3 linked regions of the Rattus norvegicus genome follow. The protein of the gene in region 2 interacts with the protein of the main gene of each other region in a biochemical or structural test. Links are inferred from orthologs where the notes say so. Each region holds a gene or a part of one and is shown on either strand. Other genes may lie near its edges. The genes, in order: Gadd45b, Map2k7 and Mapk8ip2.

Region 1 (3,745 bases), on a different chromosome or scaffold from region 2:
GAGATTGCAGCCATCTTCCCGGCGTTCCCAGACCCCAGCTTCAGCACAGTGGGTAACAGTGGGGGATGGGCCGCCAGGTTTCGTAATAAACCCGCGTCTTAATTGCTATGAAGCTGGAGTTGGGTGGTGGCGCCTACAACAGACAGCAGTAGCGTCTGGAGCTGCGGAGCTCAGAGCTCCTAACACGGCTTGGTGGCCGGTGGCGCGACACAGGGTAGCCAGAAGGGGCGGTGGGCAAGTGGGAAAAACAACGAGAACAGGAAGGCTTAACCAGTTTATTGGAATGTCTCTGTAGTAGAAATTTTTAAAAAATATGCAAGCGATCTGTCTTGCTCAGCACAATACTAAAGTAGATGTGCCTTAGCTGCGAAGTCCCGGGCTCGAGTCCCGGCTCCCGCGTCGAGGGTCGCCGCCCTCCGCTGAGTTACGCACAGTTCACTGTCCAGCGGGGTGGGGGACGCCTCGCCCCACCCCTGCGGCGGTGTCCAGACCGTCTGCTGCTGCGTGCAGAGGCTGGCTGCATGATTGCCAGGCCTTGGCTCTAAAGTCTCTGTCTCCTCCAGCCTGAGGTCCCCTCCTTCCTGTCTTGGCGACCACCTGTGGTGCTGGCTCCTGGCTCCATAGCCCAGGGGGCGGGCGGGCGCACACTCCCCTCTCCTCGTCTCAGTCTCGGTGACTCCGCCCCTCCCGGAAGGTATCACGGGTAGGGTAGCTTTTGAGGGATTGTTCTGGGGAATGAGGGGGCGCTGTCAAATATGTATTTTATTTAATTTTTTTAGGGGACAGCAACTCAACAGTTGCTTTAGGTGTTTAGAGTGGGCCTCAGCGTTCCTCCAGAGAGATATAGGGGACCCACTGGTTATTGCCTCTGCTCTCTTCACAGTAACTGGCCACCTCCACCAAGCCTTGGCTTTTCCAGGAATCTGTATGACAGTTCTGTTGGAGGGAGAAAAAGAAAGGGTTTAGTGGGAGCTCTAGGAGTTCGGTAGGGAGCCTCTGTTCAGCTCCAGAAGCCCTATTAGAGAAAAACAGGCTAGCTCAAAATAGCTGCCAGGGTGACGAGGCAGCCCACGGGACATGCCGAGCATGGCTGGGCAGTGAGCTGGTGTTGGAGCAGCCAGCCCAGCTATGTTGACAAACACGGGACCCAGGTGATCAGGGCGGGGTGGGTCACTCACCGTGACCAGGAGGCAGTGCAGGTCTCGGGCCTCGTTTGTGCCTAGAGTCTCTGCCGGCTCACCCAGGAGCTGCGCCAGCCTTTGCATGCCTGATACCCTGACGATGTCAATGTCATTGTCGCAGCAGAACGATTGGATCAGGGTGAAGTGAATTTGCAGAGCAATATCATCCTCCTCTTCTTCGTCTATGGCCAGCAGGCACAAGACCACGCTGTCGGGGTCCCTGCAGGAAAGAAGGAGTGTCAGAGGGACGCCAGACCAGGAGCGGGTGTAGCCATGCACGGAGGAGGGCATTAGCTCCGGGAACCTCAGGGGGAGGGGTGAGCAAGACCCAGGGTGCAAGGGTGCCGGGGTGGCCGACTATGCAAATACTGATGGCGGGGAGGAAGGAAGCAAGCAGTCCAAAGTTATTGGGATTGCTTGTCAAAACAAAAAACACAAAACCTCAAACTTGCAAAGTCAGGGTTCTGCAGCGAGTCTCTTTCCCTCTCCCAAAAAATTCTCTGAGAAATGTCGCCCTCCACTCCCCAACTCCCAGGAGCGCTGGGAAAGTCCCCCAAAGCCCCGAGCCCTAGAGGGATGTTGGAGCGCGCGTGCATCAGAGGGGCGCCCCCACCCACGCCCGAGAAAAGGGGGTGCTGACTCACACATTCATCAGTTTGGCCGCCTCGTACACCCCCACGGTGAGGCGATCCTGACGCTGCGCGGCCACCAGCAGCTGCTCCACCGCCGCAGTCACCGCCTGCATCCTAAAAGGCCAAATGGGGAGATTAGGCGATGACAGCCCAGCAGACCTCAGGCGGCGGGCGAGAAGACCTCGGTCTCCGTTGTACTCACTTCTGAACCGCGTTGTCGCTCGCCACCAGCTCTTCCAGGGTCATGATTCAGTCACACTTCACAGCGGACCCCCACGGAAGATCCCCAAGGCAAAGCACTCGTCCAGATCCGAACCCAAGAGGTAAAAACCTTCCCGCGCGACCAGAAGTGTCCGAGGCTTTCCGGAGGCGGTGGGACTTACTTTCCCAAGAAAAAAGCAGGATTAAAAAGAAGATTGCAAAAAAATCCCCCTCGAAATTAATCCAAGAAGACGGAGGTGACACGGATCCCGGGTTGACGCGGAGTGAGCGCGCCGGCGCTGCAAGCCGCTTATAAGACCGCCCGGGAGAGGGCGTGGCCAGGGGAGGCATGCACCGCCCATCCATTGGTGGAGGCACAAAGAGCCGAGTAGCCTGCGCTGAGATTGGCTGGAGGTAGGAAAGGGCGGAGCTCGGATCTCCGGCGGCCCCACGTGGGGGTCAGGGCTGGGAGGAGCGTGAACCCAGGCAGCGGCGACTGCCAGCGAATCGAGAGAGGAAAAAAAAACCACACACACAGACAAAAAAAAAAAAAAAAAAAAAAAAAAAAAACACAGAAGTTTCTCTCCTGATTTCCCGGCAGCCGCGCTACGCAGGCCGCGCGCGGGGTTTCCAGCGCGAGAGGCTGGCTTGAACTTTCGGGGAGAGCTGTCTGGAATCCCCTCCCTGTCCCCGGAGAGTCCCTAGCCTTTCCCAAGCTCTAAAAGAAGGGATGTGCATGGGCCAGGAGGCTAAGTCTGCAGCTCGGCCTTGGAGAGTTGGAGAGTGTTTAAATAAGTCTAAGGTATATAGTAAACACTTGGTAAGTTTGAGGACCGTGGGATCCTCTCCCCAAAGTGAGAACTACAAAGGCATCCCACCAGCGCATACAAAGGTGCTCTGAGAACGCTCAGCCCCCTCAGGCGGGGGTCGCGGGAGAGGCACACAGGAAGCTTCCCAGTGGTCGTGGTAGGTGGTTTGGCGGTGCCCCAGGGGTCCTGGCTGCAGAGCACTAAGGGATCCCAGGAGGAAAGATCCGGAACCCCTTTTCCCCGCTCCTGGCACCCCGAGTTTCAGATGAGCCGGGGAGGCGCAGGTGAAGAGCCTTCCAGACGCTCTCCGGAGCGGCCCCGCCCCCTGCCGGCTGCCTCCCGGTCTATCCTCAGACCGCGTCACCACACCTGATCCGGTGCTGCCCCCTGGGAGTGGTGGCTGAAAGGCAGCCCCCTTTTTTTTTTTTTTTTTTTTTTTTTTTTTTTTTTTTCCGGAGCTGGGGATCGAACCCAGGGCCTTGCGCTTCCTAGGTAAGCGCTCTACCACTGAGCTAAATCCCCAACCCGGCAGCCCCTTTTATGTCCCTGGCATTTTTGTAGTACGCAGCATGAACCACAGGCCCCCTCTTCCATGAGTGTCATTTATCTTTCCAAGGTTTGGCCGGCTATCTGCATTGTGCAAAATGGAAACTGAGGTCTCCGAGGGCGTTCTGTGAGCCACAGTATGAGGGCTGGTAGCGGACGGCAAGGACATGAGGGAGGCAGACAGACCCCGCGTGGGATTCTCCCACAGCGCACGGGGGCTCCCGGTGAATCACCCTGAGTCCCCTCCTCCGCCAGCCTGGGTCCTGGCCTCAGCCGCGCGGCTCGATTCGCCGGATCCCCCATCCCGGGTCTGGTGACGCATCCTGCATCCTCCGCGCCGCCCACCCAAGGTGCGAAATGTCCCGGGCGTGAGAGG
Region 2 (3,663 bases):
TGAACTTGATGGGAAAAGGGGGATACACAAAAGCCCTGAGAACAGAAGTTAGAGGGGATTAGAGCCACATGGCAGGCCTAGAGAGTAGATTAAGTATAAGTCAGTGAGGGAGAAAAAAGTGAGAATGAACGAACAAATAAATGAATGAATGAATGAGAGAAAGCAAGACAGATCATGGAGTCACGTGCCCACTTATGGGGCCCTTAGGTGTGCAGACTACCGGCCCAACATACATACACTCAAATGCAAACAGACAAATATGTACACACAGAGCACACACGCACACATCCATGTATACACACAAGCTGGGAACACACACGGAACACACATGCACACATCCATGTATACACACGAGCTGGGAGCACACACGGAACACACATGCACACATCCACGTATACACACGAGCTGGGAGCACACTACCACCAATAGTCAGCTCTCCTCATTTCTGCCAACACAGGTGCTCTTTCTCTTATGCAGATGGGACACTATACACCTAGGAACCAGCACAGCTGAGCTACCTAGCATGGAGTCCTTATGTGTGCGGGTGGGGGTGGGGGCAGGGGGTGTCTTGCCTCCCCTAACCTCCTGGGACACTTTTGCTCAAATCCCAAATCCTCCATAGGTTTTCTCTGAGAGACCCCACTGGACTCTTCTACTGCATCAGGACTGTGCTTCGTGTGTACTGATGGACCCCGTCCTGCAGACTCAGCACCGTACAGGAGCTTGGTCTGTTTTACTTACTGCTGTGTTCCTGGGCCTGAGACACAGTGTACAAATGACGACTCACTCACTCCATAGTTGAGACAGATTAAGTAAGAGCAGTGCACCTATCTCTACCTACTTTATTTACACACACACACACACACACACACACACACACACACACAGAGCACAACACAGAGCATGGGGTGGGGATGGCATTCTGCGGCTGGGGCAGCGGTTAGGTCAATGTGCAGATACGCAAGCAGCAATGATAAAAAGGCTGGTACCTGCTCGCTGGGACGGGGCAGGAGCAGGGCTTAGAGTGATCACAATAACTGGATGGGGAAAGGAAGAAAAGAAAAAAAAAAACACCACAATAAATCACAACAGAAACAACCGATTTGTCCAACAGAAAAGAAATCAAATCATAATGAAGAGGAGGGGGAGGCACAAGGCACCAAACTGCAGAGATGGGTAGAAACCAACAGAGATGGGATGGTGGGAGGGGGTGTGGATCTGACAGACACAGACACCTGCAGGGGGCTCCTTGAGGCCTGCCAGTCACTAGCCTGACCAGGTCTTAATCTGCTCTACGGACCGGCAGCTCTTAGGGCACGTAGAACCCTATACCCAACACTGTCTCATCCATACTGAGGCGTGGAAGGACCACCCTAGAATCCAGCAGGGGCCTTCCAAGTCTTGGCCCAGCCTTCAGTCCTAGGCAGAATCCAATGAAACACATCCCCCACCTCTGGGTATCTCCAGGTCCTGGAAGAGACTCCCAGGAAGGAAACATGGAACTCGGCCAGAAGCTGGGAGAGATGGAGAGAATCCTGAATGCCTCTTCAGGAAGACGACCAAATAGTGAACAGAATTCTCTCCTATGGGAGGCTGCCTTTCCCCTCTTACCATAGTGACCCCACAGACAACTATAAAACATATATATACTCAAAGGTTATATCACAGAGGATATAAAGAAGACATTCTGCTGGATCAAAGAGGGACAGAGAGAAGGTTGGCAAGAAGAGAGAAAAATCAGATTCTTTCCAGCAAAGATGATTTGGGGACAGGGATATCTGGGGTACAAGGATGCTAACTGTGGTTATGATGGACAAACCGTATATGTGTACAGAAAGAAAGGGGAAGCACTTATATGTCAGGGAGGCAGACCCAAAGATGGTGGAATCAGAAAGGAGGTGTGTGTCTACTTGATGGAACTAGACTAATTACAGGTGTCTGTAGTGCTAGCAGTCACTTGAGCCCAGGAGACAAAATTGTCAGGCTGAGAGATGGTTATGTGTTTCCAGCGGGCTAGACACACTAGACAGCAATAGTGAAACTAGCTGGTCACAGGGATATGAGGTACCCCTGTATGTAGGAGGCAGTCAGCTGGGTCCGGTGACAAGGTCCTTCCAGCTAAGGAGCCATCTGATATGATCAAAGAAGTCAAACGGAAGAAGCTTCTCACCGAAAAGGATTAGATGTAGATGAAGACTAGGTGACCTACGTGGACAGACAAGCATGCACGTGTGTGGACTGTTTGCTGGGGGAAGGGACCTTTTGACAGTCACTGAAACGGCAGGAGTGGAACCACTGAATCAAAAGAGATATAACTGTTTGCAGAGTTGAGAGCCTTGGCTGTAGTCACAGTAGCTTAGCTTCGGGTCTGAAAGCCTGCGAGGTGCAGGTGACAAGGCTCTGGGAGCCGACCATGGGGGTGAGGGGAACCCAGACACTAAGCTCTCAGGTACCCATGCTGTGAACTTCAGGACCGCGGTATGTGTGGGGACCGAGTAGCCCTGGAGACTGCCCACCCGACTCCCAGGTCACCGTGACCCTCTCCCTGCAAGCTGACAGCGTAGAGAGTGGAGGGGAGGAGAGCTAGCGCCCCGGAAGCGGGGGCAGGATCTGCCCGATGGGCGGGGCCTCCCACTGCGCGCCCCGCCCCGCCCGCCCCTCCCCCACGCGGCCGTGCTTACTGGGCCTGGGCCGCTGTGGGCTTATATCCAGGTTGAGGTCGATCCTCCTGCGGGCCTCACGATTCTCCTGCTTCAGCTTGGCCTCCAGGCGGGACAGCTTTTGCTCCAGGGAGGACGCCGCCATCTTCCCCGCCGCCGCTGCCGCCGCTCACCGCCAGGCCACCCGTCAGTCCCGGGTAGACAAACACCGCACTGCGCCTGCGCTAGGATGACCCCGCCGAGCCGCCGTCCTGCCTAGACCACCCCGGCTCGTGCCCGCCCTGCCTCGCGTGCATAACGCCGCGCGTGCGCACTGGGTCCCAATAGGAAGACGATGCCACCTAGAGCTCGAGTCTGGCCTCGTGCATTGTCACTACCCACCGCCACCTCCCGCAGTGCGCATGCGTGAGCTTTCCGGGGGCGGGGTGTGGCGCTGTTGGAAATCACTTTAAAAAAAAAAAAAAGAGAAAGCGAAGGCCGGTCAACCGCACGCCTGCGTGCAGAGACCAAACTCGCGCCTTTGCTGCGCACGCTCACGGCTGTTCCTGGATTATTCTTCACTCCGTGTGCATCTCCAGGCCTCTCTGGTACCCGCGCCCTCACAGAACAACCTTCCTCAACCTTGGACAGTCCTTCATTAGGACCTGTTATGCTTAATTGCGGCCTGAACTCTCGCTGTTAGCTTGAAGCCGCCTCCTCACTGTAATTAGGTACCTGTGGTAACTCCTTTCCATTTCACCCAGTTCCAGCAAACTGAGAGTAGATCAAAGCCTGACAAGAGGAGAGGGAATCCAGGGTTGGTGACTCCTGAGCTCAGTGTCAGAATCAAGATTAAAGCTAGATAGACTTCTGGCCCTGAGACCTCAAGGCGTCCCATCCCCATGGCTTCGCCCTGAGAATCCGGACTCAGCTCCTGAAACCAATGTCTGAAGGCAGTCCCTGGGGTTAGATGCCTCTGCCCTGCTTGATCCATCCGCATCCAACATAGTTTAAGTCCTTCCAA
Region 3 (3,645 bases), on a different chromosome or scaffold from region 2:
ACAAGAGGCAGGAGGGCGCAGGTGGACCGTTAGTTTCCGGGCTGTGGCAATCTGAGGGAGAAGTCAGAGAAGATGGTGGGGAAGGGGGCCTTGAGGACCTCATCATGGGTGCCCTCTCTCTCTCTCTCTCTCTCTCTCTCTCTCTCTCTCTCTCTCTCTCTCTCTCTTTCCAAGCCTCTGTTCATTTTAGATTGTCTTCGTACTCTTGTCACCTAAGGCCCCAGAGACAATTCTGGAAGAACAAAAGGATGACCTTGGCTATCTTTGCCTTCAGAACAAGTCAGTCATCACTATGTACCTGGTCTCCCTTCTGTTCCAACAGCTTCTCTTGGTTCAGGTGCCAAGAACTTATTCTGCCCACACTTCCAGCCACCTCACTGCCTGATCTCCATAACCTGGCTGGAGTTCTTTGATATAGATGGTCTGTCCTGCCACCCAGGGCACGTCAGGCTCAGTTTTGCATGGCAGATCAGCAGGTACTGATAATTGTCTCAGGGATTCCCAGGGAAGGGGGCATGAGCATTGACTTTAATTTCAGACAGAAGGTTGATGGCTTACGGGAGGAGGAATCAGCAGAGAGGGGAAAGATTTGCTTGAACTGACCAATAGACCCAGAGGTAAGAGAGACAGGTGCTTTGCTCTGCTCTGAGTTTTTCTGACTGGGCCTGAGAGCCAGCCCTATATATAATATCTCCCTTCAAGAAGGCTTAGAACCACGGGAGCTGTGCCACCCTGTGAGACTGGAGTGACATTCAAGTGGGCCTCCAGCCTGTGCCTGACGCCATCTCCACACTGACCTTTTGCATGGCTGCACACAAGATACCATTGCCCTGGTGACATGGTACCTCCACAGAGCCCAAGAACTGCACATCGAAGCGATCCACCCAGCAAGGGCTCCGCTTGCTCCCTGGAGGGTTGGGAGAGGAAGTCACATGGTCAGAGGGTGATATGGGGGAAGTCTGTGGTGGCAAGCTTTCTCTGGAGGGTGGGATCTTACCCAGCAGGTCCTTGGCAGGACCAGGTACTGCATGGGCGTAGAAGGCAGGGAACACTCCACGCTCGCCGGTGCGCATGTTGAAGCCACGGAACCAAAAGTCGTCCTCTTCGGCTTCCACCAACACCGGGTCGTCCACATCTAACTCTAGTTCATCTGGATGTCGAGGGATGAACCTGAGGGCAGGGGAGAGGTTGACTGAGACCACACTGGCCGAGATAAGTCACATACACACTCCTTAGTCACACTCCTTAGTGTCCTAAGGAGTCTACAGACTGGGCCTGGGGTGGGGCTGAGGGAGGGTAATGTACCTGAAGACAGCCCGGTGTGTCTGCTCTCTCTCTTCTCCATTGACCACACAGGAAAAAAGACCGAAGGACTCAGTGCCTGAGAGACAAGAGAGACAGTGATGGGGAGAATCAGCAGTGCCATAGAGAAAGAAACTGAAAGGCCTGGCCTTGGGCTGGAGCCAAACCCCCTCCCTGCAACAAACTGTTTGGACATCCTAAGTCAAGGAAGAAGGAAAGGGTAACCCACTACCGGCTGACTCCCTGCCACTTGGAGATGAACATTGCCTATTGTTCTAAGAAAGAAAGAAAGAAAAAAAAAAAAAAGAATGGTCCAGCCTTGACCAACTGGTCAAGAATTTAAGACCCCCTGAAAAAAAAGACCCCCTGGATACTTCGGGGGACCAGATAGGGGCTGGGGCCAGGATGGCACTTCTTCCTCTAGGGCCTCCACACATCTCCCCACTTCCCACTCACTGGAAGATCGAGATGTGCTGTTGACAAAGACATTGAGGAACTTCTTGGAGAAGGTGAGGTCGGGGCTGTCAGGAGAGGCGTCTTCTGGCACCTGGTCACTGCCTAGTAACGTAGCTCCCGCCTCTTCCTCACTGGCCTCGCAGCTGCTGTCCTCTTCACTGTCGTTGTCCAGGCCTGCACAGCGCCGCAGGCTCACCAGCTCTAGCTGCGTGTGCTCATCCACCACTAGTGTGTATTTAACCGCATCGTACACCAGCGAGGCATCCAGCGGCGCAGTAGAGCCTGTAGTCCTGGAGCCAGGGGGAATCACGCTGTCCTCAGCATCCTCCTCATCCTCCTCGTCCTCTTCCTCATCCTCCTCCTCCTCCTCCGAGCAGGCAGCAGAGCAGGAGCGGCCAGGGCGAGCAGTGCGTCCAGGTGGGGCCCAAAGTGGGGTGATGGTATCACGTGTTGGGTTACTAAGGAAAAGGCAGGGCCCAGACTGCGCTGGACCAAGCCGAGGTGCTGCAGGGGCCGGCGGAGGTGGCCCGCAAAGGGTGTCCATGTCCACTAACTCCACGTGGGGCCCTGCTACTGCCTCAGGGTCTGGGCAGTCCTGGGGTACCGGGTTGGCCTGGGATGCAGCCTCTTCTGGCGGGCGTGGTGCAGGAGGAGACAAGCACTGGCCAGGGCAACGAATAGGCGAGGAGCCCTCGGAGATCATGCGGCTCACCAGGTTGCTGAGTAGCCAGGGCGAGTCAGCATCCTCACTCAGATCAGGCTCAGACTCAGAGCCGGACTCATACTCGCTGTTGGTGTCGTCCTGGCCCACAGGCAGGAAGGCAGGGCGGCGGGGAGGTTCATGTAGTGGCTCGGGCTCGGGCTCAGGTTCAGGCTCTGAGGCTGGGGACGAAGCCTCCTCGATAGAGTTGGTGAGGTGTGAGGAGCGGCCGCTGCTGCTGCCACTGTCACTGCTCAGCTCCAGCTCCGTCTCAGAAATGGAAGAGATCATGCGCCCTAGGCGTGCGCCGCCTGCCTCCTCAGAGTCCGAGCCTGGTGATGAGAGCTCCTGGCTGCTTCGCCGACCTTCATGGCCTCCACTAGAGTGGCTTCTCAAGTCAGCCTCGATACCAGGATCCGAGGAAGGGGAAGCCCCACCTGATGCTGGTGGCTCTGGCGGCTGGTTCCCTTCACAGTCACAACCAGGGCGTGCAAGGGACTGTACCTCATGGTGCTCCTCTTCTGCTGGTAAGAGAGGGGCTGGTAGCTCTGCAGGGCAGAGAGTTGGGTTACTGCCTCCAGAAAGCAGGCCTCCTTCAAGCAACCAGCCATCCCTCCCCCCCTCCCTCTTCCGCTGGGCTCCTAACTGCCTCCATCCCTCACCTTTAAGGGGCTCCTGGACTGGTGAACGCAGCACTGTTTCCTGCCAGGAAGATGGGGGCGCAGAGGTAAAGCCTCCATTGCTGTTGTTGTTGAGGGAGTCCTAGGTAGGAGGACAAATCGGTATAGCTGAGGACCACTCCGTCAATAAGGAGAAGAAAGGACCCGCTACAGTGGCCCCGAACTCAGCTCTAGTACTGTGTGTCTCAGGAGGCTCACCTGGGCTCCAAGTGTAGTCAGGTGGAGGGTGGTGGGTCGGAGCTTGTGGGACTCCTCTATGGAAGGAGAGGGAATAAGGGATTCTCCAGAAAGTTCCTGTGAACCAGATCCTCCCCCTGCTCTGCCGTCCCCGTCTCCATCTTCCTCCTCTTCCTCCTCTTCCTCCTCCTCCTCATCTTCCTCTTCCTCATTGTCATCGATCATCTCAAACTCCTGGAAATCATCTTGGAAGGAACAGATAGGGTGCGGCTGCTCTGAGCGACCCAGGGAGAGACTGTCCTGCAGGAAGGAGGAACAAGACAGGGATGG

The links.
Region 1: the proteins of Map2k7 (region 2) and Gadd45b form a complex in vitro, tested with the Homo sapiens proteins (2 studies listed by BioGRID and IntAct). The link is inferred for Rattus norvegicus from reciprocal best matches to the Homo sapiens genes MAP2K7 and GADD45B.
Region 3: the proteins of Map2k7 (region 2) and Mapk8ip2 form a complex in vitro, tested with the Homo sapiens proteins (2 studies listed by BioGRID). The link is inferred for Rattus norvegicus from reciprocal best matches to the Homo sapiens genes MAP2K7 and MAPK8IP2.

What each region holds. Positions count from the first base shown.
Region 1 is NC_086025.1:9,428,428-9,432,172, forward strand, and holds Gadd45b (growth arrest and DNA damage-inducible protein GADD45 beta), read right to left. Parts: upstream 2,292-3,745; 5' UTR 2,060-2,291; coding exon 2,016-2,059; intron 1,928-2,015; coding exon 1,826-1,927; intron 1,402-1,825; coding exon 1,179-1,401; coding exon of another isoform or gene 975-1,178; exon of another isoform or gene 937-974; coding exon 823-936; 3' UTR 262-822; downstream 1-261.
Region 2 is NC_086030.1:7,388,495-7,392,157, reverse strand, and holds the start of Map2k7 (dual specificity mitogen-activated protein kinase kinase 7), read right to left. Parts: upstream 2,892-3,663; 5' UTR 2,806-2,891; coding exon 2,682-2,805; intron 1,038-2,681; coding exon 990-1,037; intron 1-989. UniProt on the Homo sapiens protein: Dual specificity protein kinase which acts as an essential component of the MAP kinase signal transduction pathway. Essential component of the stress-activated protein kinase/c-Jun N-terminal kinase (SAP/JNK) signaling pathway.
Region 3 is NC_086025.1:122,409,315-122,412,959, reverse strand, and holds part of Mapk8ip2 (C-Jun-amino-terminal kinase-interacting protein 2), read right to left. Parts: intron 3,616-3,645; coding exon 3,337-3,615; intron 3,221-3,336; coding exon 3,121-3,220; intron 3,007-3,120; coding exon 1,759-3,006; intron 1,382-1,758; coding exon 1,306-1,381; intron 1,171-1,305; coding exon 998-1,170; intron 908-997; coding exon 798-907; intron 52-797; coding exon 1-51. UniProt on the Homo sapiens protein: The JNK-interacting protein (JIP) group of scaffold proteins selectively mediates JNK signaling by aggregating specific components of the MAPK cascade to form a functional JNK signaling module.